4 linked regions of the Elephas maximus indicus genome follow. The protein of the gene in region 1 interacts with the protein of each later gene in a biochemical or structural test. Links are inferred from orthologs where the notes say so. Each region holds a gene or a part of one and is shown in the gene's direction. Other genes may lie near its edges.

Region 1 (7,079 bases):
CCAGAGACCTTTGTCTCTGACCGGTTTCCTTCCCAACCAGGGTTGCCCACCCCCGCCACAATGGCCTCTGGGGTGGAAGTCCTGCGCTTCCAGTTGCCTGGCCACGAGGCCGCTACCCTGCGAAACATGAACCAGCTCCGCGCAGAGGAGCGGTTTTGCGACGTGACCATTGTGGCCGACAGCCTCAAGTTCCGTGGCCACAAGGTCATCCTGGCCGCCTGTTCGCCGTTTCTACGGGACCAGTTCCTGCTGAACCCCAGCTCTGAACTGCAGGTCTCGCTGATGCACAGTGCGCGCATTGTGGCAGACCTGCTCCTCTCTTGTTACACCGGCGCGCTGGAATTCGCTGTCAGGGACATCGTCAACTATCTGACGGCAGCCTCCTACCTGCAGATGGAGCACGTGGTGGAGAAATGCCGGAATGCCCTCAGCCAGTTCATTGAGCCCAAGATTGGCCTCAAAGAAGATGGGGTCAGCGAGGCTGGGCTCATGAGCGGCATCACTACCACCAAGTCCCTCCTCCCTCCTGCTAGGACCCCAAAACCAGCCCCCAAGCCTCCTCCCCCACCTCCTCTACCCCCTCCGCTCCTGCGGCCCGTGAAGCTGGAATTTCCTCTGGATGAGGATCTGGAGCTGAAAGCCGAGGAGGAGGAGGAGGATGAGGACGAGGATGTGTCTGACATCTGCATCGTCAAGGTGGAGTCGGCCCTGGAGGTGGCACACCGGCTCAAACCCCCAGGAGGCCTGGGAGGGGGTTTGGGCCTTGGGGGCTCTGTGGGCAGCCATCTCGGGGAACTGGCCCAGAGCAGTGTGCCCCCCAGCACTGTCGCCCCTCCACAGGGTGTGGTCAAGGCCTGCTACAGCCTATCAGAGGACGCAGAAGGGGAGGGCCTGCTGTTGATTCCTGGGGGCCGGGCGAGCGTGGGGGCCACCTCAGGTCTGGTGGAGGCAGCAGCAGTGGCCATGGCTGCCCGGGGGGCGGGGGGCAGCCTGGGGGCAGGGGGTAGCCGGGGCCCCCTGCCTGGGGGCTTCTCAAGTGGGAACCCCCTGAAGAACATCAAGTGTACCAAGTGCCCAGAAGTGTTCCAGGGCGTGGAGAAGCTGGTCTTCCACATGCGGGCGCAGCATTTCATCTTCATGTGCCCGCGCTGCGGCAAGCAGTTCAACCACAGCAGCAACCTCAACCGCCACATGAACGTGCATCGCGGTGTCAAGTCGCACTCATGTGGCATCTGTGGCAAGTGCTTCACGCAGAAGTCCACACTGCACGACCACCTCAACCTGCACTCAGGAGCCCGGCCATACCGCTGCTCCTACTGCGACGTGCGCTTCGCCCACAAGCCTGCCATCAGGCGACACCTCAAGGAGCAGCACGGCAAAACCACAGCCGAGAACGTGCTGGAGGCCAGTGTGGCCGAGATCAACGTCCTCATCCGCTAGCGGGGCAGGTGCCGGGGCAGGAGGCCGGGGTCCCTGGGCTGGGTGGGAAGGTGCCTCCTGTGGCCTGGGAGAATAGGGGGGTAGGGGGTCTGGGGCAGGAAGGTATATTGGGGAACCTGAGGAGAGGCATTCTGAGAGGCAAAGATTTACTGCTGAAAAGATCCAGCCTCTTCAGAGCTGAAGAAAGGACAGATGGAGAGAGGGTCCTTTGAGAAAGCCAAGAGAATATGGAGTCCCAGAGAAAGATTTTCTTCTCTTAGAGGTGCATGGATATGTGGAGGGAGGGGAAGGGTCCTATAGAACGAATAGAAAAAAGACTGGAAAATGTTTTATTCTGGGCTAAGGCTGCCCAAGGGGAGGTTCTGACATTTCTTGAGGTAGGGATTGGGTGGGTGGGGCTTGGGAGGGAATTTGGTGGGGGCAGCTTACATGCTCCTGTTTAGAATAGATCTTTGGGAGAGGGAGTGGTAGAGGGAAAAGATGATCGAATCCCAGAAAAGGAAGCTCTTGCATGCTGGGGGAAGGGGGTACAATTTCTAGAGGGAACAAAGTAAGGTGCCAGGTAAAAGAACACAAAGATGAGCATCCTAGGTAGATACTGGGAAGTGAGGGTTGGAGGGGAGGGCACTTAGAAGAAAGGACACGAGAAGGGCTGTTGGGGAGGGAGAGGAGTAGAGACTTATACAGTATTTTTTAAGAAAACAAAACATATTTTTTAGGATCTTTTTGGAGTTTGGGGTTTTAGTTTTTCTGCTTTTATTTTCCACAAAATAAAAAACAAAAACTTGTTTTTTCTTTATACTCTGATAATTGTGTATGAGTGGCCCTTTTTTTTCCCCACCAGTTCTATGAGCATCCCACCCGAGACAGCCTCTTCCTCTGATGCTGTGTCTTCAGTACCCAGAGGTCACAATTCATGCAGGTCCCATGGCTGAAGGAGCCCAGCCTTTGGGGCAGGGGGCTCCTCTGGCCAGGGACTCTCAGTCTTGTAACCTCAACATGTAGCAGGGTAACTCATAGCACAAATGTGCTGCAGTTGTTTGGCAGTGATGATGTTACACATAACTGCTCCTTTTTGAGGAATTTGGTATCAGGGCTAGGGATGGGCTAACGGTAGTCAGTGCACCCACTGAAATTGCAAGCAGAATTCTGTGTTGGACTTTTTTTTTTTTGGTCTAGAGAAAGGTCCATCCCTGTTCAATGGGAAAGTTAAAAACCACTGTTTGGGCTAGGGTGCAGGGAAGACTACAAGTCCCAGAAAGCTCTGGAATAGTTTTTAACCAAACAGTACTACAGTTCCCAGAAGGCCTTGAATTGGCCTCAGGTGCCCCATATCACAACCACCTGCCTGGATCCTATGCTGCGTGTGAAATCATACAGATATTTCCAAACTTTGGCCAGAATGCAATACCTAAAGGGATGGTACCCTAAATACTACTACCTACTTCCACGGACAGTTGGACTACGTACGACCCATGGAGTGCCTGACTTTGTTTGTGAAGTGTTTAGTAAAGCTTACTTACTGCAGTGTCACCAGATAGTAATGACTCTCGGGCCGCTGGGGGCTTACCTGGATCCCTAGTGCGTGTGATGCTGTAATACGCCCTGCATAAACAGAAGAGACATTGAGTCCCAGGTTTTTAAAAGGGAACCCTGCTCCAGGGGACAGAAGCAGAGTGTCAGAACCAGCCAAGAGTAAAGGTATCCTCCGCGCGGCCCTGTTGTACCCTTTTTGCTCGTTAGAGAAGTGAGGCCGAGCCTATCTGTTGACCCAGAAACTAGAAAGCGAGCAAAGCAACCAGCGGCGGGAGACGCTCACGAGGGCCACAAGAAAATACGGCCGCTGTCGGGAGCCGGGAGGCTCACAACTCTGCTAGTTACCTAAAACCAGGTAGGGGTGGAGAAGCCACACCTGGAGACGGGCGTGCCTCGCTCTCGGTTCCCCGCAGAGCTGAGGTGAGGAATGGCAGGAATTCTCGCCTGTGGCCCCCAGCTTCGACCAGCCACCGCCATTTCCAGCGCTGCTCCCGGAGAAAAATAACCAGCAAGCACGTTGCGGCTCCTTTAAGGCTCCTCCTCGCCTTCCCGCCCCCCCGATCACGTGACGCGGGGCGGCCGCGCGCCGGCTCGGCCCCTCGCGCGAGCGGCGATGGCGGCGGCGGCGGGAGCTGCAGCGGCGGCGGCGGCCGAGGTGCGGAAGGGGAGGGGGAGAGGCGGGTGCATGCCCGCGCGCGCGCCCGGGGGAAGCGCGCACCCGTGCAATGCTCCGGGGGTGCAACGGGGCCGGGGGGCCCGGGCGGGACTTGGAGCAATCCGGGGGGCCAGCACCGGGGGCGGATGAGGGGACCAGGGGGTGGGAGGTGGGGGGAGTGGGCACGGAGGCGCGCATGCAGCCGCCGGCTGCCCCCGAGTGGGTGGCGGGCGCCGCGGCCCCAGCGGCACGCGCGAGGGGCACGAGGGGCCGTCCGCCGGGCTGGGGGGCAGCGGGCGCTGGAGGGGTTGGTGCCAGGGGTCCCCGCGGCCTGGGGGACAAAGGGGGAGCGGCGCGTACAGCCGGGAGGAGGGGGCGGGGCCGGGGCGCGGAGGCCCCGCCCCCTCCCCCTCCTCTTCTCTCTGCCCCAGAGATGCGGGGTCTACCGAGAGGGAGGGGGCTGATGCGGGCTCGGGGGAGGGGTCGTGCAGCCCCTCCGGGCAGCCGAGGCCGCGGAAGGGGGGGCACCCATAGGGGGAGAGGTAGGCCCCGAAGCCTGCTCTCTCTTCCCAGGGCCCAGGCGTCCTGGGCCCCCCAACTCCCTACTGGGCTGACCAGCTCTCCCGTCCCCTGTCTCCCCTCCCAGGGGGAGGCCCCCGCTGAAATGGGGGCGCTGCTGCTGGAAAAAGAGCCCAGAGGAGCCACCGAGAGAGGTGAGTGTGCGGCAGAAACGGCCCACTTGAACCTTCATCAACCCCCAGCACAGGATCCCGTGAGTTCTTAGCCCTGAACTTTTTTATCTTTCTTATCAGTTCATGGCTCTTTGGGAGACATTTCTCATAATGAGGAGGCCCTACCCAAGGCCAGCCCTGATCCCCTGGAGCCGGCAGGCCCCTCATCCCCAGCTTCTGTCACTGTCACCGTCGGCGATGAGGGGGTTGACACCCCTGTGGGAGCCACACCGCTCATTGGGGATGAGCCTGAGAGTCTCGAGGGAGATGGGGACCTCCATGGGGGCCGCATCCTGCTGGGTGAGAGGCTGGGGAGCCTGGGGTCGGGGGGAGTACCATGGGGGGGTCCTCCGAGCCTTCCTTGTTATTTTACATTATGTCTGCCTGTACGTCTTGTCTTCTAGGGCATGCCACAAAGTCATTTCCCTCTTCCCCCAGCAAGGGAGGCGGGGGTGCCTGTCCCAGTCGGGCCAAGATGTCAATGACAGGAGCTGGGAAGTCACCCCCCTCAGTCCAGAGCTTGGCCATGAGGCTGCTGAGTATGCCAGGGGCCCAGGGGGTGGCAGCAGCAGGGCCTGAAGCCCCTCCGGCCACCACCAGTCCAGAGGGGCAGCCCAAGGTCCACAGAGCCAGGAAAACCATGTCCAAACCCGGAAATGGACAGGTGAGGGTGGGGGCAGGGTGGGGGGAACTAGGGTAATTGACCATAAAGCCCTTGTGGGCTTTTTAAAAACTTAATTTCAGGTCTCTTGTAGCTCATTTACTTATTTACCAAGGACCTGTTTTTGTTGCCTGTCAAGTAATGGGCTGGGGCCTAATCTATGAACAGACGCTGTTCTTCTTAGAGTTTATTTTTTCAGAGAAAAGGAGGAGAAAAAAAGACATGTTAAAGAGTTAATTGTATAGTTAATGTCTTAATTATTTTTGTGATAACGAGTATGTAAAGGAACTTCAAGGCACTTTTTCTTTCTACCTCTAAGCAAGCCCTCAGGGGGATGTTTCCCTCCCTTTGAAACCTGTCCCTGCTCCGTTTTAAGGTTTTATTGGGAATTCCTACGGGAAAGAATGTGAGGGCCACAGAAATGGCAAAGAAGGTAAATCACAAAGTCCCCAGAATCTCAGAAGCTTTATGGTAGGGTTTTTAAGGGCTTTTGGTATGATCTGTCCTGAATGTAAGGAGCCCTGGTGGTGCAGTGCTTAAGTACTCAGCTGCTAACCGAGAGGCTGTTGGTTCGAATCCATCAGCAGCTCTGTGGGAGAAAAACATGGCAGTCTGCTTCCATAAAGATTTACACCCTTGGAAACCCTGTTCTACGGAGTCGCTATGAGTGGGTTTGGTCCTGGATGTGGTTTTGGCCGTTTTCTCATCTGTAAAATTGGAGTAGAGGGTCAATGATTAGAAAGATAAGTAAGTGCTTGATATGGAAAGTGGTTGATATCTTGTTGTTATATTCTGGTTCTTGGAGCACCAGATGGCATTTTTGAGGGTATGTCTCACCAACCTGCTCATACCTGGGACTCCAGGCTAATCAGCAGAACTGTAGGTGCTCCCTGATCCCAAATGCTCCCTCTCACCCCCAGCCCCCAGTCCCTGAGAAGCGACCCCCTGAAGTACAGCATTTCCGAATGAGTGACGACGTGCACTCTCTGGGGAAGGTCACCTCAGGTCAGTTTCACCTACTACCCACCCGCAGCCTGACAGTAGCCATTCTTGAAGGTGTAGGGCACAGGCCTCATCCCTTTCATTCTCTCCTTCCAGATGTCGTGAAAAGGAGGAAACTGAACTCTGGAGGTGGTCTGGTAAGCCAGGAGAGGCAGGGAGCGAGGCCTTCCCACCTTGGGAGGGAAGGACTGCTTCAAGGGTGTAGACTCTGCGGCCACACCCTGCGTCCTCGAAGTGGGGGCTAATGGGAGTGGTTACCAGCAGCCTCAATTTTTCTGATCTTTTTCTAGTCGGAGGAGTTGGGTTCTGCCCGTGGCTCAGGAGAAGTGACCCTGCAGAAGGGGGACCCTGGGTCCCTGGAAGAGTGGGAGACGGTGGTGGGGGACGACTTTAGTCTCTACTATGATTCCTATTCTGTGGACGAACGCGTGGACTCTGACAGCAAGGTGAGGTCCGCAGGCCTGCCCTCCCCCACCAGCACTCCCCCAGGTCCAGGGGTTTCTCACCAGTCTTTGTTTTACTGTTTATTGGCTTTTTGTTTGGATTTTATGATTCTCTTGCTCTATAATGCTATATAAAATGCTTTAAAAATCTAACACAAGTACTTACTGGATTGTCTTAAAGTAAATCCCAGGTACCGTATCGTTTTATCTGCAAGTATTTTTATGTGAGTCTGTCAGCATAAGGAGCCCTGGTGGTGCAGTGGTTAAGCGCCCAGCTGCTAAGCAAAAGGTCAGCCGTTTGAATCTACCAGACACCCTGCAGGAGAAAGATGTGGCAGTCTGCTTCCATAAAGATTTACAGCCTTGGAAACCCTATGAGGCAGTTCTACCCTGCCCTACGGAGTCACTGTGAGTCAAAATCAGCTCAGTGGCAGTGGGCTTGCTGTTTTTGGTTTTTTTTTTTTGGTCTGTAAGCATAAGGCTTTTTGTGTTTTGACATCACCGTGTTACTGTTTTTGTATCTAAGAATTTTACCATTGATTCCTTAATACTGTCAAACACCCAGTCGGTTTTCATGTTCCCTCAATTGATTCATAAATGTTTTTTTTTGT
Region 2 (7,137 bases), on another chromosome or scaffold:
ACAAGTCTGAATAATTACAGTTTTTCTGCCAGTCATTCTTTCAAGTAAAAAATGGTGTTCCATGAAAAAAGTAGCTAGTTAGCTCGCACATCTCCAACAATCCTACAACCATCATACTTTTGTTATGCAGCAGAAGTGCTTTATGGATACTTCCATTTCACCACACAGAACACTAAATGACTCTAGGATGGAGATGAATAAGATTAATAATTCTTACTGCTTCATCAAGGGCATTCTTAAGTGAAAGTGACTTTTTAAATTCTTTTATTGCATGTGTGTGGCAACAAAGAATACAATGACTCTAGTACACATTGGTGCTACTGCTGTGATTCACGCTAAGATAACAGCAGTTTCACCCACCATTGCTTTTGCACCATCACTGAAAATGTCAACATAGAGAAAGAGATAGATAATGTCGGAATTGTTATGAAAATAGTTTTGGTCTGGTAGACTCCTTGAAACTGTCTCAGGAACTCAAAGGAACCTGTGGACCATATTTGGAGAACTACCTCAGGAGAATGTATCTATATTCAACGAATATTTATTACGCTCTTCCTATATATAAAAAATATATATATATATTTTCTTATATGGGCTAAGGTGGCGTAGTGGTTAAGTGCTATGGCTGCTAACCAAAGGGTCGGCAGTTTGAATCCGCCAGGTGCTCCTTGGAAACTCTATGGGGCAGTTATACTCTGTCCTATAGGGTTGCTATGAGTCGAAATCGACTCGACAGCACTGGGTTTTTTTTTTTTTTTTTGATGGAGTAAGGAGCCCTGGTGGCACAGTGGTTAAAGCTATCCACTGCTAACCGAAAGGTCGGCAGTTCAAAACCACCAGCCGCTCCTCTGGAGAAAGATGTGGCAGTCTGCTTCTATATTTACAGCCTTAGAGACCCTAGTCACAACAAATTCCATTGCTTTGGCTTGGGCTCCTATGGCCTAGGCACTATTTGGAGCACTAAGGATAAAGCAGTAAACCACACAAAAATATTCTGACCTTCTAGAGCTTATATTTTTAAAGATATAAGAACTTAGCACCATCTCCCTGCACATTACTCAATAAACGTTTTGAAATAAACTCATTAAATAATTTGCAGTGTAGGTTTCACAAACAGGTGGTGCCCTATCTCTAGTTTATTTTCACAACAGTGATTTCTAACATTTGACAATAAGTACCTGTCCAGTAATGATCCCTTCTCAGGACGAAACCAATCAATATTAGAGGCTGTGGTGTTTGATTCAAGAAGTGTTCATTTTAATTATTTCTTTCCCATTGCCATCCAGTGGATTCAGACTCAGGGCAGTCTCACATGTGCAGATTACAACTGCATTCCATAGGATTTTCAAGGCTGTGACCTTCCAGAAGCAAATCATTAGACCTTTCTACCAAGGCACCTCTGGATGGATTGGAACCTCCAACCTTCCGACTAGCAGTCAAGCACTTAAACCCAAAGACTTCTTACATTTTAATTAGAGTCCAATTACTACAAGGAAGTAACCTGAGAATCAGACTGACCTGGGGCAGTAAGACAGACTGATAGCTCCAAGGTATTTTTGCCTTTTAAAAGAGGGTGATTGTTAACCCCAATGAATAAATCTTTAACAATAGAATTTCAAGTAGCAGGTCAAAATGAAAACAAAGAATTTCAGACAGTACGGAGGAAAATACTTTCTGATTTCTACACTTCCCCTGGAGGATCCCTGGTGGTACAGTGTTTAAGCATTGGGCTGCTAACCTAAAGGCTGACAGTTCAAACCCACCAAGGACTCCTTGGGATAAAGAGATGGCGATCTGCTCCTGTAGATTACAGCCTTGGAAACCCTATGGGCAGTTCTATTCTGACCTATAGGGTCACTATAAGTCAGAATCGATGGCAAAGAGTTTGGTTTTTGGTTTTTATACTTCCCCCACTCTAAATCACATCTCATAAGCTGCTATCTACTGTACCTAAAATACCTCCCGTTTACTGAATGTTAGCTATATGTCATTCTCTTTATACAACATTACTGTTAATCCCACAACAGTGGTGCAAGAGAGGTCGTAGATGTTATTTTTGTGTTATAGATTTTCATGAAGGCTGAGATTCAGAGAAGTAATGCAGTTTGTCCAAGGTTATACAGGGGCCCTGGTGGCACATTGGTTAAGAGCTCGGCTGCTAACCAAAAAGTCAGCAGTATAAGTTCACCAACTGCTCCTTGGAAACCCTAGGGAGCAGTTCTACTCAACAGAATATAGTTTGATTTTTGGTTTTGGTCATACAGCACACAAATAGTAGAAACAGAATCCAATCCAGTTTGGCCTGCATCCCAAGCCCTTGTTCTTTTTGGAACATTATACTTCTTCCCTTCCTCACATTCCTTGTGATTTGAGAAACTTGATTTGACAGAAGCATTTCCTGTGGACATTAGCAATGCCACTTCAGATGTCTTGAGCGGTATTACTATGACTGAGTTGTTGTTCCTTTTAGAAGTAGAACTCTGAGGGTCTGAATAACTTAAAATGTCACCATTCTTATCGGAAAAGAGCTAAACCTATTTAATACCAACGGACTTTCAAAATGGATATTGTTAATGCAAACTTTAGGCTCTTACGTGCATGTTTCTAAGTAAGGAGCCATCACGGCTCTATGCCCTTCTTGAATTAAGGCTGCCAAATATTACTTTCTCATTTTTTGGTGGGAAGGCACAACTGGTTTATGCTAATCTGCAATCAGCTAAAAGCTCTCGTTAATAATCTGTTGTAGAATTCTGCCAGGGATGGATGTCAAACTTTCAAGCCTAAAGTTTCTGCTTTAGTGTTTAGGGACCCGGCACTGCACATCCAACCCAAATGTTTCAGGAAGAACTGCCCTTGTCTCTGCATCCCCAACAGCCTCTCAGCAAAACTCTATTATGATATTTCTGGGCTGGATTTCTTACATGGCAACTCTCCAGAGACCTGCACAGTGCCTAGCTCAGCAAAACTTATATAAATGCAGACCTCTGCATTCTGGGGTAAAATGCACTAGACTTTTAATTTCCCCTTTCCCCCCGGTTAGGGAAATAGTTTACTATTTAAAGTAAGAAAAAAGAATGTCACCTTTAGAAGTTCCGTCTGTATAGTTCCTAACTGGACAGGGAAAAGGAAAGTAAGGGAGAGAAAAAAAAAAAGCCAAAAATCTGGAGTGAAGAGATGAAGAAAAGCTTGATCACCTCTGTTTTCTGTTAGGTAGGAGGCAGAGATGTCATTCATTCATTTAATCATTTAAATGCCAGGGACTGCACTAGGCACTGGGGATACAGCAGTGAACAACACAAGGCAGGGTTTCCGTCCTCACCGAAGCTTGGCTTCCAGAAGGGAAGACAGATATTAACTAATGACATAAAGAAGGGTGTGACATAAAGTGGGGGGTGAATGTTACAATGGGAGATGGAATTTTTATTTGAACGGGTTTGGGGACAGCAATCTAGTTTAAATCAGGAGAACCAGAATACATCTCAAAACGCAACAAGCGTGGTTTGCTTGATTCTATGTTTCTTCGGTGTGGCTGGGTGAGGGGTGCTCACTGGCATAGCCAATGAAAAGGGTAAGTCCAGGATGCCTTGATGACACCTACCCAGGGGACCTTACCTAGTCTGGAGGATCAAAGAAGGCCTCCAAGAGGAAGTAATCTCAACAGTAAGGAGAGCGCTGGAGAGCTGATAAAATTCTGGTGAAGAACCTAGTAAGAGTCAAATGAGTCAAGGATATGAATTACACGTTCAAAATTTCTAATTTGCAACGTTCCAAACTATTGACCCAACTGAAACCCACTGCCATTAATCAATCCTGACTCGGAGTTACCCTACAGGACAGGGTAGAACTGCCTTAGAGTTTCCAAGGCTGTAATCTTTATGGAAACGACTATTACATCTTTCCCTGTTCTACCCGCCAAGCGGCTGGTGGATTGGAACCGGCAACCCTTAGGTTAGCAGCCAAACACTTAACCACTGCACCATCAAAGACCCTCCAAGCTACCGAAGACCTCCCTAAAGCCTTCGCATGCTGTGCGTGGCGGCGTATGATGCCGGAGCACTTCGGAACTTGTAGTCTTGGGCCGACTCTGAGCCCCATGATGCTGTGCGACGGGTCGTCACGCCTGCGCAGTGAGGGGGGCGGGCAGCGCAGAGTGCGAGGCTCTTTTGTTCGGCAGAGGGGGAAGGCCGTTGGTCCGGGCCTTCGGTACGTCGCTTCAGTGAGGGTCTCGACTGCGGCTCCTCGCCTTGTTGCTTTTGTGGGCGTCACTCCCCCGACCGGCCCGACGCGACGCGCCTGTAGCGCGGCACCGATTCCCCTCGGGCTTTTGGGCGCTGCTCTGAGGTGAAGAGCCCGCTAGAGGCGGGGAACGGGGGAGGGGGGTGGGAAGCGCGCGCGCGACGGCGGGAACCCGGGGTGAGGGGCTGCGCGCTCGCGACCGCAGTTGGGGGCGGGGAGCGCCTCGGGCCCCCTCTCAGGTTCCCGCGCCCTTCCCCTCCACTTCCCGCGCAGAGCTCTCCGGCTGGCTCGGAGGGTTGAGCGCCGGCCGCTTGAAGGATGGGGAGGGCGGGGCGGCGAATCCTGAGGAAGAGATTGAAGCAGTTCGGGGTGGGCCGAGTACTCGGGGGTCGCTCTTCGAGGGCCAAGTAGATGAGACAATGCTGCTTGGGTTGGGGTGGGCGGCTGTGGATTGGGCTGGAGAGAAAACATTTTAGTAAATTGGGAAAGGGACAGATGGGGCACCTTTGCTGCTTGGGTACGCGTGGGGAGAGGCTGACGACTGCGAGACCTAGATTTAGAGCTGTAACCTGAGGAAATTGGGTCCGCGGGAGCTACCAGAGGCGTTTTCGCTTGCGGGCTACGGAGAAGTAACTTTGAGTTGCTTTGAAGGGGGCGCTGGGCGGCCCAGGGGGTGCTGTTGGAGGAGGAGATATGCTGGCCTAGGTGTAAGCAGGGGGTGGGAAGTAACTTGAATAAATGGGGGTGGATCTAGGAGGAAATATTTCTCTGCCTGTCCTGGCTCTAGAAGGGGAGGAGCTGTTAGGATAAGTGGAGCCGAGGCCGCGAGGGTGCTTCTGTGAGGGGTGGAAGGGGAAAGCTGGCCGCTCTTGCTCATGGGTCCTTACAGTGGGGAGACTGTAAGAATAATGTGTGAAGAATGAATAAAACTCGCTTTCGTCACTTTTCCAGGTTTTTTACTGTCTTCATGATTCCTTTAGGAAATTCAAAACAAAACAGCCTAAGTGCAACTCTTGCTTTGATTCACAGTTCCATAAATTTTGATCTGGGATTGTTGCTGGTCTCACAGGAGGTGGTAAAATTGTAGAAATTTGTCGGTGGGTTCATAGTTAAGGAATGGAGTCAGATAATGAGACGGTGAGGTGGTGTGGGAAATCTGGAGACAAAGGAGAAAAGTATATGAGATGCTATTTTTGGGGGGGGAGGGGGCCCCAAATGTTTTTCTAGCCAGCCTTGTTAGAACAAAATGTGAATACAAAGTGGGCAATACTTTACCCTTTTTCAAAAGCACTGGAAAAAAAGTTAAGTACTAAGCTTTAGCTGAGGGGGTTTTGTGTGTTTGTGTTATGGTCAGACTGTATTGGTTTAATTAAATTGAGGTGGAGTTTACAAAAATAATCGTTTATTCCAGAACTGCCATCTAGGGATAAGATCGCTTTCTTAATTGTATGAAAAATCCTGTCAGCAGTTTGGGATAGTTCTGAAAGGTCCAAGGTTTTGGAATAGATACATAAATTAAAAAAAAATCAGGAAATTAGTGCCTTTGTTCCTCCCTTACAGACATTTATATGGAAAGTAGTATGATTGAAAGGCACCTGAATTGGAACTGGTCACACCTTAATGAAGCTTCAGGGCAGTGGAGGATCCTCAGTCATTTCCATTTTTCTCTGTGGTGATTTTTTTTTTGCATTGGCTGCTGTAATCTAAATTGTTTTTCATTAAAAATATAAGCAGCATGAAGCTTGGTGCTTCTAGCTTCTTAATTAAAGAGAACAAGTAAGAGTACTCTAGCCTTCTACTGGTTTTTTTTTTTTTTTTTTTTAATACAGGATACCTACAATTTTCCAACCATACAACTAAAGAAAAGAAGCAGTCGTATCTTCTTATGCCCATCTTAGGGACCAGGGAAGTGTTTTTTAAAAAAAGACACAATGAATTTTTATCATTTTACAGTGGTTTATCCAGCAGAATTTCCCTTTTTCATATACTCTCTGTGGTGGTATAGGAGATTTTGCATTGTATTTGATATATTTTCACTTCATAGGTTATCTCTGAAGAATTTTGGAGTGAAGTGCTAATGGCTAGTTTATACCAAAAAAAGCCCAAACTCATTGCCGTCGAGTCAGTTCCGACTCATAGCGACCCTGTAGTTTATAGGTTCCCATAAAATGGTGTTAGGCCTCTTGTTCATCCAGTGTCTGGTACATATTTATTAGACCATTCAGATTGTTGATGAATGAATGAATAGGGATTTGAGATCCTTTCTGAGAAGTGCAGATGTTACTTAATATAATTAATTAATGTGCATTTATGTAGTCCTTTTGCCTGTTCTAGATTTATGACATTTGGCAGAGTAGAACTATTGTTGTTGGCAAACTTGCATTAGCCTCATTTTTTAATGTACATGCACTGTTTTTAAATACAGAAAACGTATGTGTCTTAGTTATCTAGCACTGCTATAACAAAAATACCACAAGTGGATGGCTTTAACAGATAGATTTATTCTTTCACAGTTTAGGAGGCCAGAAGTCTGAATTCAGGGCACCAGCTCCAGCGGCAGGCCTTCTCTCTGTCAGCTCTAGGGGAAGGTTCTTGTTTCCTCTCAACACCTGTGGGTCTGGTGGTCCTTGGAGATTTCCATGTGTCTTGGCTTCAATCTTCCCCTGAGTCTAGGGGGTTCTCAGTGCAGGGACCCTAGGTCCAAAGGTTGTGCTCCACTCCCGGCTCTTCTTTCTTGGTGGTAGTCAGGTCCCTCCCTTATCTGCTCTCTTCTCTCTCTTGTATGATAAAAGATGTGACTCAAGTAAGGGTGTATCTTGAGTAAGGTGGTGACTTGAGTCACACCCTTTAGTAAGGGTGTTACTCAAAAGATACACTCCATACTAATCCTGTTCAGGATTT
Region 3 (7,189 bases), on another chromosome or scaffold:
AAAAAAAAAACTTACATCAAATTTAAACCATATGTTAAACTGCATATTAGTTGTGTTACACCAAAAAAACTGTCTCAGCTGAACTACACAAGCTTCAAAGTCATTAATGCCTGATCTAAATTTACTTGACATAAATTTATTTTAAACAAACGTAATTATCATTTATTTAAAAGCTTTCTGGGGAGAAAAAAGTAAATATTCTGCGGTTCTTGAATGGTTATTAAAAGACTACCAAACTTTTACACAATCCTATGTCCAAGACATAAAACTTTGCTTTTAAGTAATAAGTAAACACTTTCAAAAAAATTCAAAAATAACTCTGGCTCTTTACAACCCGTGGTTGACTACGTATTTCAGAATTCAGTATCTGAAAAGTGCCATAATTAAATTATTTTCCCTTAACTGCCCCCTCTGGTGGTAGTTTTAATGAATCTCATCCAAGAAAACTCCAAAAAAAATACGGATTTCCCCCATATGCCCCCTGCGGGGCATTAAAGGTTTAAGATAGGTACAAAAATAAGCTCTCTTGAGCAAGGCAGGTTGATTTTATAACCAAAGTCTTCTACAACTTAAAAAAAAAAAATCGAATGCAGTTTTTTTTGGGGGGGGGAGGCTCTTGTATTTTGTATTTAAATGACAGTACAGAAACAATCTGGACCACTCTGCTAACCACAAAAAAATGTATTCACCTTATATATTAATATTTTTATTTAGCATAAGCATCTCACATTAAAAAACCCAACAAGAACGCTTAAATGCACTTAGAAATAATTCTGATGATTGCACAAGTTGAAAGTAACGTCTGAACTATACAATTAAAATGTTTAATAACTAATGTTTCGTTATATACATTCTACCACAATAAACAAAAATGTTTAAACCACCACCATAATTACTTGGTTTTTACTTATTACCACATTTACCAATAACACATTTGACTGGCTTATTTAAAAAAAAAAGCTCGGGCATACGGATTTTAATGTTCATCTGGCAAACTAGGGCATAAAACAATGTCTTAAATTTTACAAGTTGAAAAGAAAAAAATCTGAGCTGAAATTTTTAACACCTGCAAACATGCTACATTAAGAGCCCCTTTATCTGGGGTAATCATGGTCGTTAAACCTGCCTTACAGGTAGGTAACTTGTTAATTTTGAAAAAATATTCATAAACCAGGAAAATAGATTATATATCCAGGACAAACTACTGTGAAAGTGTAACAGACTAAAAGGTCAAATATATTTTCAAATACAGGAAGTGTTTTATTCCCAACAAGTATTACTGCTTTCAACCAATTCGATGGAAGTTCCTTAACGCAGACGATATTCTCCCGACTGCTCAAGAGAATACAGTAGAAGCCAATTCAGTCAGGGACTCCCCCTCCCCCAATATGGTTAAGTGTTTTCTGGGTTCTGAAAATGAAAAATAGAATTAACTTAAATTACCAAACTAAGCCCTTGAGCTACTGAAACAACAACACGCTGTCAGAACGGGTAACTATTTTGGATTCTCAAACTAATTTTTTTTATTCTATACCTTGTCACTAAAAACATCTCTTTAAACCCAAATCAATCACGGACATTTAATGCAAAAGCACATCCACAATCCTTAAAAACCAGTAACAAACGGCAAAAACGCATTACTTACCTCGGTCTGTTCCAAACTTACCCGATGTCCACTATCGATTATAAACAAGGTTATTTTATAAACGTGCTTTAGGGTCAAAGAAAATAATCAGGTAGACCCCCTTCGCTTGAGACCTTACGCTTAATCAATGCAATGACCAACCATGATTGCAAACAGAAATAAGAACAGCAAATAACAAAGTTCAAACACATAGCGACCTAGGCCCGAGACAGTTTTGGGCATAGCACTACAACGCATTACAATTTCGAGCCAGGATACAACTAATAAGTCATTTTTATTTCACTTTGCTCTGAACTTTTGGCTTGTCGTTCATGAAGATCCGCATGTTCACCCAGCAAACATCGAATTTTCACATAATTGCTATTCTGAATATGAATAAATCCTACAACTTATATATTAGTCCTTAGAATAATAAAAGATTCTGGAAAGAATATTCTCCCCCACATAATAATCTTCCCCACTGCCACCTCGTTCGTAATCGATACTAATCTAATGGCTCTAAATTTTGATATTTCCAAGTTTTCTGCGGTTAAACGGTCTTTTTTTAATCACTGCAAACCCAGAAAAATCCGTTATTAAAAGAAACACAAGCTGGAAAACATGAAACGGTTTCTTGGTAATATGGCTTGCCTAAAGGCCAGGCCCAAGGCCCAAGGCCCTCGGCTGTTACACCTTCCCTCTCTCGCGCGGTACCAACTGGCCCAGCCGAGCCTCCTCCCCACCCCCCACTCTTCTCTGTGGCTTCTGAACGCAATGGCGCCATTTCATCGAGGGGAAGGAAGAGCGCCTTTAACGAGGTGCGCAGGACTTAAAAGATCCGAGCTCACAAAACACACGAAATTCACCTCGAAACGACGTGGAAACAGCCCGAGAAGAGAGAGAAACAGTTAACTACTTCTATTCGGCAACAAAGTGATCACAGTAGTAGAATTTAAAGAGCAAAAACAAAAACGCTGCGAGGAAGGAGAGAAATGAAAATGGCGGCCGCCAAATCCGGTTCCCGGGAGAGAGGGGGAGGGGAAGCTCCGCAAACTCACGAGGGCCCCAAGCCCTCCGAAACGCTAGGACGCTGAGGCCCCTAAGTTGGCGTTTTTAAAAAGGGAATAGGAACTCCCGCCTCTGCACCCCACTTTCACTAAAGTGGGACTGCGTCCGCCATGTGAAAGTTCCCCATCCCCCAAACCAGTAAAAGGAAATGGCGCCGGGAGGCCGAGGGCGGTGGTGTACAAGCAGGCCTCCGCTAAGATCCCCCACATAAATGTCACAAGATCAACCGCCCCGGGAGCGGTCCGACTTCACTGCCGCTCTCCCACGGAGGCGGGTGGTCAACTTCCATTGAGGCGCCAACGGCCTCACCATGCCCTCTCCAGTAACTCATTGATTTCAAACCCGTTACCTCCATCGCGGACTCAGTCGCTTCAGCCCGATTTCCCGCAGCCGAGCGAGATGAGAGAGATCTCCGCGGACGAACACGAACCGGACTCGTCCTGGCGCTGTTGTGAGAGCTGCCGCTGCTCGAGAAACAACACCGCTAGGAGGACCTCCGCACGGGACCCGGCGCTGCTGCTACTGCCGCTAGAGCCGCTGCCGCCGCTTTTCTAGAACCTTCCCTCCGACTAACGCGTCCTCCCTTACGTCAGCTCGTTGCGTAAACGCCCTAACCGCCGCCAATGGCGGGAACGCTCTGCTCCCGCCTTACGCCAAACACGTACCCCTCCCCCTGCTTGCGGCTAGCGGTGGTGCTTGACGTTACTAGCGTAAATGGGACTCAGTGAATTGCGGAAGGCTCGAGTCTTGCGTATCTCCCTCGGAGTCGGGTCCAGCCCCCGCCTTAGCGCAGGGCAGGTGAGAAACGGTCGCGCAGTTTGAAATTAGCGCTGTCGGGAGCAGCTCAGTCAGCTGCCCGAAGAAGTAAAACCTGCCGCTGCACCTTTGATAATGCCCGTGGGTTCTCCCACCATAAAAAATACTGGTAGCCTTCCTCCCTTCGTTTTCCTCTTCAACTCCCTCCCCCCCTGTGCAGGACTGACTCGGCCCCTTCCGGAAACACCCGAAGCGATTTCTAGTCAACAAATTACTGGCCAACGTCCTTGGGGCCGGCCCCTAGAATTTGGTACTTTTTTTTTTGTTTTTTGTTTTTTAGGAAGGTCCTCCGGGAGGTACACTTCTCTTAGCTTCCAATTGTCCTTTCACCCCCAAGTTTTTCTCCACCTCCCTCCAAAGGAGGCAACCACTCCCAGGGGCGAGGAAGTGGGCGGAGTCCGGTTTTGGCGCCAGCCGCCGCGCTGCGGAGCAGAAAAGCCTCCGCGGAAAAGACTCCGACCACCGTCCCCGCCCCTCCTCCTCCCTCCCCTCTGGGGATCACCAGGCGCCAAGCCGCGAACGGTAGGTGCCGCAGTCACCGCCCCCTTCCCTGCCTCCCTTCCAACCTCCCACGGTCCAGGGCTCCCGACGGGCGCGGCCCCTCCCCGGCCGGGCGCGCGCGCCCTCCCGCCCCGCCCCTCGCCGCCCAGCGTGGGCGGTGCGTTTCTCCCCTCCCCCTCCCCGGCCCAGGCGGAGGCCCAGCGCGCAGCTCCCCAGCCCCCTCCTCTTCGGATGTGGCTTGAGCTGTAGGCGCGCAGGGCCGGAGACGCCGCAGACCCGGGACGTGGAGCAGCTCGGAGGCGGTGAAGTCGGTGTCTTTCTTTCTCTCTAGCTTTCACTGGGTGGTGGTGCTTCAGATGCTACATGCGCCCCAGGGACCCCCCCCTCCCAGTTCCCAGCTCCTGGATCCCGCCCTTCCCCGCCGGACCCAGAGTCGGGATCTGGCGGGAAGGTGTGGAGGGCAGGTGGAGGCCCGAGGCGAGCCGCGCTCAGGGCCGGCGTCTGTAGTTTGCTGAGGGTAGAGAGGTGTGGCGACAGCCGCTTTTTTTCTAGACAAAGCGCCTTTCTTCCCCTCCTCCCTCATCCACGTTCAAGAAGAGGGACCCTCCCCCGCCCGCATCTCCGGCCTGGGCGGCGAGTTGGGCCTCCCGGGAGGGCGGCGCATTTTCCCGCATCCGCGGGGCCTGGCACTGCACGCGGCCCGCTGTCCAGAGACGGCGGCGGACGCTCCGTTACGTGGCCGCCGCCCAGGTGCGGGGCCGGTGGCGCAGTGCCCTTGAACCCCGGCGCCGCGGCCTTTGTTTCTCCCCGCGGATGCGCTGACCACGAGGCCGCGCTCTCGGTGGGGGGCGGGCGCTTAGGCCTTTGCACACCCCAATCCATTTCGGAGGGTCCTGGGGCCAAGGGGAGATCGGGTGAATATGCAAGAGGTGATTTGTTTTTAAAAGTGTCATGAAATGGGAATGAGGCTTCACGGTGTGTTTTCCCTTTAGTTTTTTTTAACGAGTAATTGGGAAGAGGGGTGGTTTCTGAGAAGAAGTCAAGTTAGGGTTGTATAGGAAACTCTTTGGACTGTTAAGAGGTCTAGAGGAAAAATTCAGTATAGCTTACCGGTGTGGTTGGTTGGCTAATTTTCTCTCACTTTGAACAAAAAGGTTTGCCTTTGAATAAAAAAAAAAAACAGAGCTAAACATAGAATTTGGTGTAACTGGGATTTAGAGTGGAAAAAATATTTCTCCTGTTTTTTGCACCATGTAAAGCTCAGTCTCAGGTGCAGATGTCCCTCCCTTCCCCCACTTGGATAAAAGTGATATATTACTTTAAGGCATATATCATTAATAATTCACGCAGGAGCTTAAATCCGCTTCTCTATGGATTTCTATCCATGTTTGATATGTGCGCTACCGACGTGGGGGTTGGAATCCAAGCAAAACTTGTGTTTAGCTACCTTTTTTTGTGTCATGCAAACTTCCTTTTAACTGTCATGCATTTTTCTAGTAATAGCTCTTCAAGTCTGCAATAAAAAATGGCCTCCAATAAAACTACATTGGTAAGTTAATGAAAACCTAAATACATAAGGATCTAACTCAAGCTTTTTTCCCAAAAATTATAACTTTGCATCTCTGTGGTTGGAGAAATTTACATTCATATATTCCCCACACACCCCAGGCCCCCAGTATTATTATGGGGAGAATTAGGGGCAGAAAATTACATAGAGATTCTTACTGACTTGCCTTAATACTTCTAATTCAATTAAATAAACCTAATCTCTTGTCTAGTTCTCAAGAGTTTAGAAGGACAGTACAGTATGAATTTTGCCCAGTACTTTTTTCTTGCGATAATAAAATACAGAAAATTATGGAACATGGAAAAATATGTTAAAAGGATAGGCCGTTGAAACAGTAAAGCCACTGTTGATTGGTATAATAAACCACTGTACCTGAATTCTGGAGAAACCAAGTATTTTCAGTAATATTCAGTTTAAAGAACCAGATATCTCGTGCACCTAGTTTGGGGCAAATGTTGTTCAGTTTTTCAGATTACTCTGGTCACTTTGTCATATTTCAATTTTGTTTAAAACGCATGAGGACCTTTACATTATTGCGGTGGTTGTTTTTTAATATACAAAAAGAACCAAATCACTATGTGTGTGAGAGAGAGAATACTAAATCTGCTGGATCTTTTGAGCAGTTAAATTTTTTCTCTCCAGCCACAGCATCTTAAACCCAAAGTTGACGTATTTTAGGTTTGATTAAAAGTTTAACAAATGTGTAAAGGCATGTAGAGTCAGCCATATCAAACTATAAATCAAAAAAAAAACTGGAATGTTCACATAAAAATCACGAAATTCAAAGTTATGGTTCCCACAGTATTTAATTCTAACACATTGCATTAATAGTAATCATAAGCATGTAAAGGTGAGTGTTAACATCTAAGTAAAGGGAAACATTTGGTTTTGATCTGCATTCATTCCTTGGTTTCTACACTAAAAAGGGCAAATTGGTTATTTTGAATTTGTGCCATTGTTAGATTGCACATTTAAGTCAAAATACACTAGGACAGATTGAAATATAAGGCCTATCTGGTGAGTCCCTGGCATGAATGATTTCCATATATAGTTCAAAATCATTAGTGGAGAAAGCATCTTCTGTGTCCCCTCAGGATTGGAGCTGGCCTTCAAATTCCATTATCAGTCAACCAAAATGTAGGTACTAGAATTGGGTTACAGTCAACTTTATCCTTCATCAAATAAGTATTGGGTAGGAAAGGAATTAGCTGTCCATGAGGCAGAAAGTTCTGAGGATGAATATACATACAGAAAACACACACTTGCTCCCATTAAAATTAAATTGCTTTTGCACAGTTTGGTAGTCTTGGTGTTTGTAATTTATTTGTGTATAAATATTTTTTTGTAAATGATCACAAATTGAGCAATTGTAATGTGTGTGTGTTTGGTTTTTTTTTTTTTTAATATGTGAGAGATGTGAGCTATTTTTGAAATGGGAAACTGAGTTTTATATAGTAGGAAGTGCATTTTGCCTCCAAAATCCACTTTGTGCTGGAAAAATAAATCTGGCTTAAACCAAATAAATACTTCTATTTTAAAAGAAGGGCATTTGAAACTAGCTTATGTATCCCAAGATAATAAATATAATATAGCCCCCCCCCCCTTTTTTTTTA
Region 4 (5,754 bases), on another chromosome or scaffold:
TAACGGGGCACAATTCTACTCTGACACACACGGGATTGCCGTGAGTTGGAATCATCACCTAAACCTAAGAGCTGCTTTCTGAGAAACACGTAGAGCAGTGGTTCTCAGTCTTGGCCGTGGGTTAGAATCACCTGGGCAACTTCACAGGGCTACCCCATAAAACTTAAATCAGAATTTCTGGGGGTGGAACCCAAGATCAGTACTTGTTAAAGGTCCCCAGGGAATTTCAATATGCGGCCAAAATTGAGAACCAATTAACATGAGGGATTAGGTGGATTCTTTAATGAAAATCAGGATACAACTAGAGAAAACAGGAAAAAATAAATGCTGCATAGTTAAATATATACATTGTAGGGCTATCAACTACTAAATTAAATTTCATGACAACATGAAAAAATAAAGTTCAGAGGTAGTCCTTAAAGGCAATGTTTTGTTCTGTTTTCTGAGCCCTGGATAAGTCAAACTACCAACTCAATATATTCACTTGAATATCAAAGAGCTTCTCAAATTTCAATCGGAAGCTCCTCCAATGCCCCAAACCATACCTCCTCCCAGGAGTCCATCCTTATTTCGAACATTGCTATCTACCCAGTTGCTCAAGCCAAAAAGTTAGGAGTTTCACTCATAACCAAATCCTGTCAGCAGATTATTGATCCAACTTCCAAAATATAATCTAAATCCCACCATTTCTCACAGTCTCCACTGCTATCACCATACTCCAGTTGGGTATCTCTAACCAAACCCAGGGGAGTCTCAGAATTTAGCATGCATCAGAATCAACTCCCAGGGCTTGTTAGATTGCTGGGGACTAGGAATTATCGTTTCTAATAAATTCCCAGGTAATGCTGATTCTGCTGGTCTGTCAGGTGCCTGCGAGTGGATAGCGACCCCATGTGACAAAGTGTAACTGCCCCTTAAGGTTTCCTAAGCTGTAACCTTTGCAGGAGCAGACCACCAGGTCTTTCTCCTGTGGAGCAGCTGGGTAGGTTTGAACCACCAACCCTTTGGTTAGCAGCCAAACACTTAACTACTGCTCCACCAGCACTCCTTCCTGTTGGTCTGGAGGCCAGATTTTAAGAACCACATCCAGCTCACAATGCTGCAACAGCCTCTTAATTTGATGCCTTCTATTGTCGGAGCCATTGTCGGAGCCCTGGTAGCGCAGTGATTAAGAGCTCGGTTGCTAACTTAAAGGTTAGCAGTTCAAATCCACTAGCCCGTCTTGGAAACCCTGAGGCAGTTCTATTCTCTTATAGGGTCATATGAGCCTGACTCCACAGCAGTGGGTTTACTGTTGCACTGGTGGGACAGTGGTTAAGAGCTGCTAGCCAAAAGGTCTGCAGTCGGCACCCACCAGCCAGTCCACCAGCCAGTCCGTGGAAACTGTATGGGGCAGTTCTACTCTGTTCTATAGAGTCATTATGAGTCAGAATCGACTCAACAACAACACATTTGGTTTTTGGTTTTGGTTTTCTGCTGTTGTCAGCCTAGGAACCATGATCCCCAAAGCAATCAGAGTAACCTTTTTAAAGGTTTAAAGGTTTAATGAGCTCATATTATCCAACCCTACCTGAAAATAGTCCAATGGGTTCCCAATACACTGGAAATAAATTCTAAAACCAATCACATTCCGCTTGCGCTACACCATATTTTCACTTTTTTTGCATTCCAAACTCCAGCTTCGGAAATTATACATATTTTGTTCCTATTATACGGGACTGTCTTCTGTATCTCGACATGGTTGTTACAAAGGGATAAACTCCGTTGATAATTCTTGGGAGTAAAACATTATCACTGCATGATTAAATTAGGTTCGGCTTCACGCTATTTGATGTAAGAAGCGGCAGAGAGAAGACACCAGCACTTAATTCCCAAATTTAAAAATCAAGATTCCATCTCCCTTACTGGGGAATCTTTACTTGAACACCTAAGTCAGGTGCTTTGAAGAACTAAGGACACAAACTCCAGAAATTAGTCAGCAGCATATATGAAGGAAACTAAATTATCCTTTTTCAGTGCACAGCACAGGAGCACGTAATGGAACAAATCTAAGTACTCCCAGTAACCTTACCACTTGGGAATAACCGAATCGTATTTCTTTGCTCTTACAGGTAACTTATCCTGCTTAACGTTTATCAAGGTTAATACAGCACAAACCCGTGTTTCACTAGAAAACAACTACCAGAGCACTTGAACCTTCACGTGTGATTCAGGTACCCAACGTCAATTTTAATAGCAATTGAACGAAGGACGAATCCCACCTACTCCCCCAAAGTTTTTCCCCCACCCTCCACGGCCATAAACTCTTTTCCCATTTGAGACAGAAACGAGCTAGATACCTGTGTTTAAACAAGGTTTAAGTTTTCTTAGACTAGACTTGAAGACAGTATCAAGATACAGCGGGGACACATTAAACCCATAGGGCCAGTGACAGCTTCTTTCGTTGACACAATGGGCGCCTCTGAAAAGAGCCTTTGGAACAAAGAAGCCGGAGACTGTGCGAAGGCTGCATCCCATCAGGTGACTCACTTGGAGCTGGTGTACTTGGTGACGGCCTTGGTGCCCTCGGACACGGCGTGCTTAGCCAGCTCGCCGGGCAGCAGCAGGCGCACGGCCGTCTGGATCTCCCGGGACGTGATGGTCGAGCGTTTGTTGTAATGCGCCAGGCGGGACGCTTCCCCGGCGATGCGCTCGAAGATGTCGTTGACGAAAGAATTCACGATGCCCATGGCCTTGGACGAAATGCCTGTGTCGGGGTGGACCTGCTTCAACACTTTGTACACGTAGATGGAGTAACTCTCCTTGCGGCTGCGCTTGCGCTTCTTGCCATCTTTTTTCTGGGCCTTGGTAACAGCTTTCTTAGAGCCCTTCTTAGGAGCAGGAGCGGATTTGGCCGGCTCAGGCATAATAAGAACTACCGAACTGCAAAAAAAAACAAAAACAAAAACAAAAAACCCGTCCCAAAACCACTAACAAAACAATCGAGCCGAGCCTGCTGGCAACAGCTCGGTACTTATAGAGGCGGTACGCAAATGACGGTTCTGACTACGCTGCTCTGTGATTCGCGGGTTTCCAGTGGCGCCGGTGCGAGGCGGGCCAGATTATGTAAACGAATGGATTCTAACCGAGCTATGCTATTGGTTTTCAGGACAAAGATGCGCTGTAGCCAATCAAAACGGTCCGCAGACAATCGCCGTTCTGCCTATAAAAGGGTGAAGCCGGGCAGTTGGTGGCGACTTTGGCGGTTGTTTAGGTAGAGTTGTGTCCGTGTGTTCTCGGTGTAATGTCTGGGCGTGGTAAGCAAGGAGGCAAGGCTCGTGCCAAAGCCAAGTCTCGTTCGTCCCGCGCAGGCCTGCAGTTCCCGGTGGGCCGAGTTCACCGTCTGCTCCGTAAAGGCAACTATGCCGAGCGGGTGGGGGCCGGTGCGCCCGTCTACATGGCGGCGGTGCTCGAGTACCTGACAGCGGAGATCCTAGAGCTGGCGGGCAACGCGGCCCGGGACAACAAGAAGACGCGCATCATTCCTCGTCACCTCCAGCTGGCCATCCGCAACGACGAAGAGCTGAACAAGTTGCTGGGCAAGGTCACCATCGCCCAGGGTGGCGTTTTGCCCAACATCCAGGCCGTGTTGCTCCCGAAGAAGACGGAAAGCCATCATAAAGCAAAAGGAAAGTGAGGTTGATGGCTGGAAACTGCCCGCCCAGCCCCCGTCCTCCGTGGTCATCCGTATAAGCCAAAGGCTCTTTTCAGAGCCACCCACTCTTATCAAATGAAAAGAGTTGTTGCAATATCCAGTCTCAGTTCTACTTTCTTGATAGTGATAGCGGAGTTTTCCGTAGCCGCCATATAGGAGGTGGGTGGGAAGTGGAATACCATTTGTTAGCTTTTCTCCCAAGCTTTTGAGTTCCGAGCGTTTTTCGTTTATTTCATGGAGTGAGTTGCGCATACTAGAACTAAACCCAAGTGGAGGCACCAAATACCTTGGGCTCCACCCACGGTCTTTTAACCCACAAGAAGATACTGGGCAGCACCAACCCGTTAGCTCGCTTGGCGCCGAGTGCGCCACTATCAGTTCCCGAAGCTTTGCCCACCACCTGACCCGACCCTAGTTTGAGGGATACGTTATCACCCCCTTCTACAGGGGAGCAGTTTCCGAGAGTGCAGCGGACCCGAGTCTCAGCTTAGCCTAGCCCAGCGTCTTGGGGAATAAAAAAAAACGTTTGTGCGGCGGAGATACCGATCCACACTAGGCTTTCGCAGGCCAACTCTTAACCCTTGGGAGCGGACAGCTTTCCAAGCGGAAAAGCACCGACCAGGAGGAAACGATTAACCAGAGCGAACGGGGCGGCCGGGGGAGGGTGGGTTGCTCTGTGAAAAGGTTACAAGATTTGGGGGGGAAGGGATAAATGTTTCATTCCGGAGCTACAAACACAGCGCAGAAAGGCGGGGCACGGGTAGCGTGTCCTAAAGGAATGATAGGCGGAGGAGAAACGGTCTCACGAGGTTGCAATCAAAAACGCCTCTCCGAGGAAAGAATCGGGAAAAACGGAGAAAAACTGTTGGCAAACTGGAGAGTAGGAAAGGGGGCGGGCTGGCGGGGGAGGTCGGAGGAGGGTTCTGTCCAAGCCTATCGGTGACGCCAGGGCGGATGACGTCACAGCCAATGGACAGTCAGCGCGGGACTTTCAATTATCCTCCCGCCCAATCCGGGAGAGACTGCGCCGATAAAGACTGCTGCTGCTGGAGGGCTCGCATTCCTGTCCCTGTCGCTGCGCCGGTTAGCTCGTGTCTTGACCCGTTATGGCCCGTACTAAGCAGACTGCCCGCAAGTCGACCGGGGGCAAGGCCCCGCGGAAGCAGCTGGCCACCAAGGCCGCCCGCAAGAGCGCGCCGGCCACGGGCGGCGTGAAGAAGCCGCACCGCTACCGGCCGGGCACCGTGGCCCTGCGGGAGATCCGGCGCTACCAGAAGTCCACCGAGCTGCTGATCCGCAAGCTGCCGTTCCAGCGGCTGGTGCGCGAGATCGCGCAGGACTTCAAGACGGACCTGCGCTTCCAGAGCTCGGCCGTGATGGCGCTGCAGGAGGCGAGCGAGGCCTACCTGGTGGGGCTGTTTGAAGACACGAACCTGTGCGCCATCCACGCCAAGCGCGTGACCATCATGCCCAAGGACATCCAGCTGGCCCGCCGCATCCGCGGGGAGCGGGCTTAAGTTACACTGCACTCGGCTCGGGGTTCCATCTCATCCAAAGGCTCTTTTCAGAGCCACCCACAACAGCATTCGAAAGCGGCTGTGTCACTTAGTCTGGGCCGTCACCGGGTGGACGCTCCCAAAGTCGGGGAGAGGTTTAGGGGGGTGAAGCCCTAGGTTCCCGGGGGTGGGTTGCGTAAAAGATAGGACGGGTTGATAGGTTTGCTTAACCTGCTTATAGACCGCTTAACTGGTGGCTTGGAGCTTTACAGGCTTAACTGGGTTCGTAAGGTCACTGGCGCTTGCCCGTTTTGCGTCTCTGAGTTGGCCACCCACTGTCCCGCACTGAAGTTTTCCGCCATTTGGGGGCCTAAGCTCTTGTGCTTTTTTTGTACACGGCGACCCAGCATGCGAATTCGAGTAGGTAGGGAGTGGAGAACGAACTGACAGCGGAAGGAGTTCCTGCGGACGGGAGCGCGCCTGGGTCGCCCTGTGCGGGAACGAAGAGCTGCCCGCTGCCAGGTATGCGCTCATCCTTTCCCCCTCGCCCCGCCCCTGCCGGAA

Evidence for each region.
Region 2: the proteins of EHMT2 (region 1) and CBX1 form a complex in vitro, tested with the Homo sapiens proteins (2 studies listed by BioGRID). The link is inferred for Elephas maximus indicus from reciprocal best matches to the Homo sapiens genes EHMT2 and CBX1.
Region 3: the proteins of EHMT2 (region 1) and CBX3 are reported together in a solved structure, tested with the Homo sapiens proteins (2 studies listed by BioGRID, with this or other methods). The link is inferred for Elephas maximus indicus from reciprocal best matches to the Homo sapiens genes EHMT2 and CBX3.
Region 4: of the proteins of EHMT2 (region 1) and histone H3, one has a biochemical effect on the other in vitro, tested with the Homo sapiens proteins (3 studies listed by BioGRID). The link is inferred for Elephas maximus indicus from reciprocal best matches to the Homo sapiens genes EHMT2 and H3C14.

Annotation. Positions count from the first base shown.
Region 1 is NC_064819.1:93,416,073-93,423,151, reverse strand, and holds the start of EHMT2 (histone-lysine N-methyltransferase EHMT2), read left to right. Parts: upstream 1-4,064; coding exon 4,065-4,344; intron 4,345-4,443; coding exon 4,444-4,662; intron 4,663-4,766; coding exon 4,767-5,026; intron 5,027-5,943; coding exon 5,944-6,028; intron 6,029-6,121; coding exon 6,122-6,162; intron 6,163-6,315; coding exon 6,316-6,471; intron 6,472-7,079. Other genes in the region: ZBTB12 (zinc finger and BTB domain-containing protein 12), read left to right, coding at 61-1,440. UniProt on the Homo sapiens protein: Histone methyltransferase that specifically mono- and dimethylates 'Lys-9' of histone H3 (H3K9me1 and H3K9me2, respectively) in euchromatin.
Region 2 is NC_064837.1:45,401,660-45,408,796, forward strand, and holds the start of CBX1 (chromobox protein homolog 1), read left to right. Parts: upstream 1-4,131; 5' UTR 4,132-4,341; intron 4,342-7,137. UniProt on the Homo sapiens protein: Component of heterochromatin. Recognizes and binds histone H3 tails methylated at 'Lys-9', leading to epigenetic repression. Interaction with lamin B receptor (LBR) can contribute to the association of the heterochromatin with the inner nuclear membrane.
Region 3 is NC_064826.1:87,352,155-87,359,343, forward strand, and holds the start of CBX3 (chromobox protein homolog 3), read left to right. Parts: upstream 1-4,189; 5' UTR 4,190-4,316; intron 4,317-5,506; 5' UTR 5,507-5,534; coding exon 5,535-5,558; intron 5,559-7,189. Other genes in the region: HNRNPA2B1 (heterogeneous nuclear ribonucleoproteins A2/B1), read right to left, coding at 3,042-3,047.
Region 4 is NC_064821.1:184,006,007-184,011,760, forward strand, and holds histone H3, read left to right. Parts: upstream 1-4,748; 5' UTR 4,749-4,800; coding exon 4,801-5,211; 3' UTR 5,212-5,250; downstream 5,251-5,754. Other genes in the region: histone H2B type 2-E-like, read right to left, coding at 2,526-2,906; histone H2A type 2-A, read left to right, coding at 3,284-3,676. UniProt on the Homo sapiens protein: Core component of nucleosome. Nucleosomes wrap and compact DNA into chromatin, limiting DNA accessibility to the cellular machineries which require DNA as a template.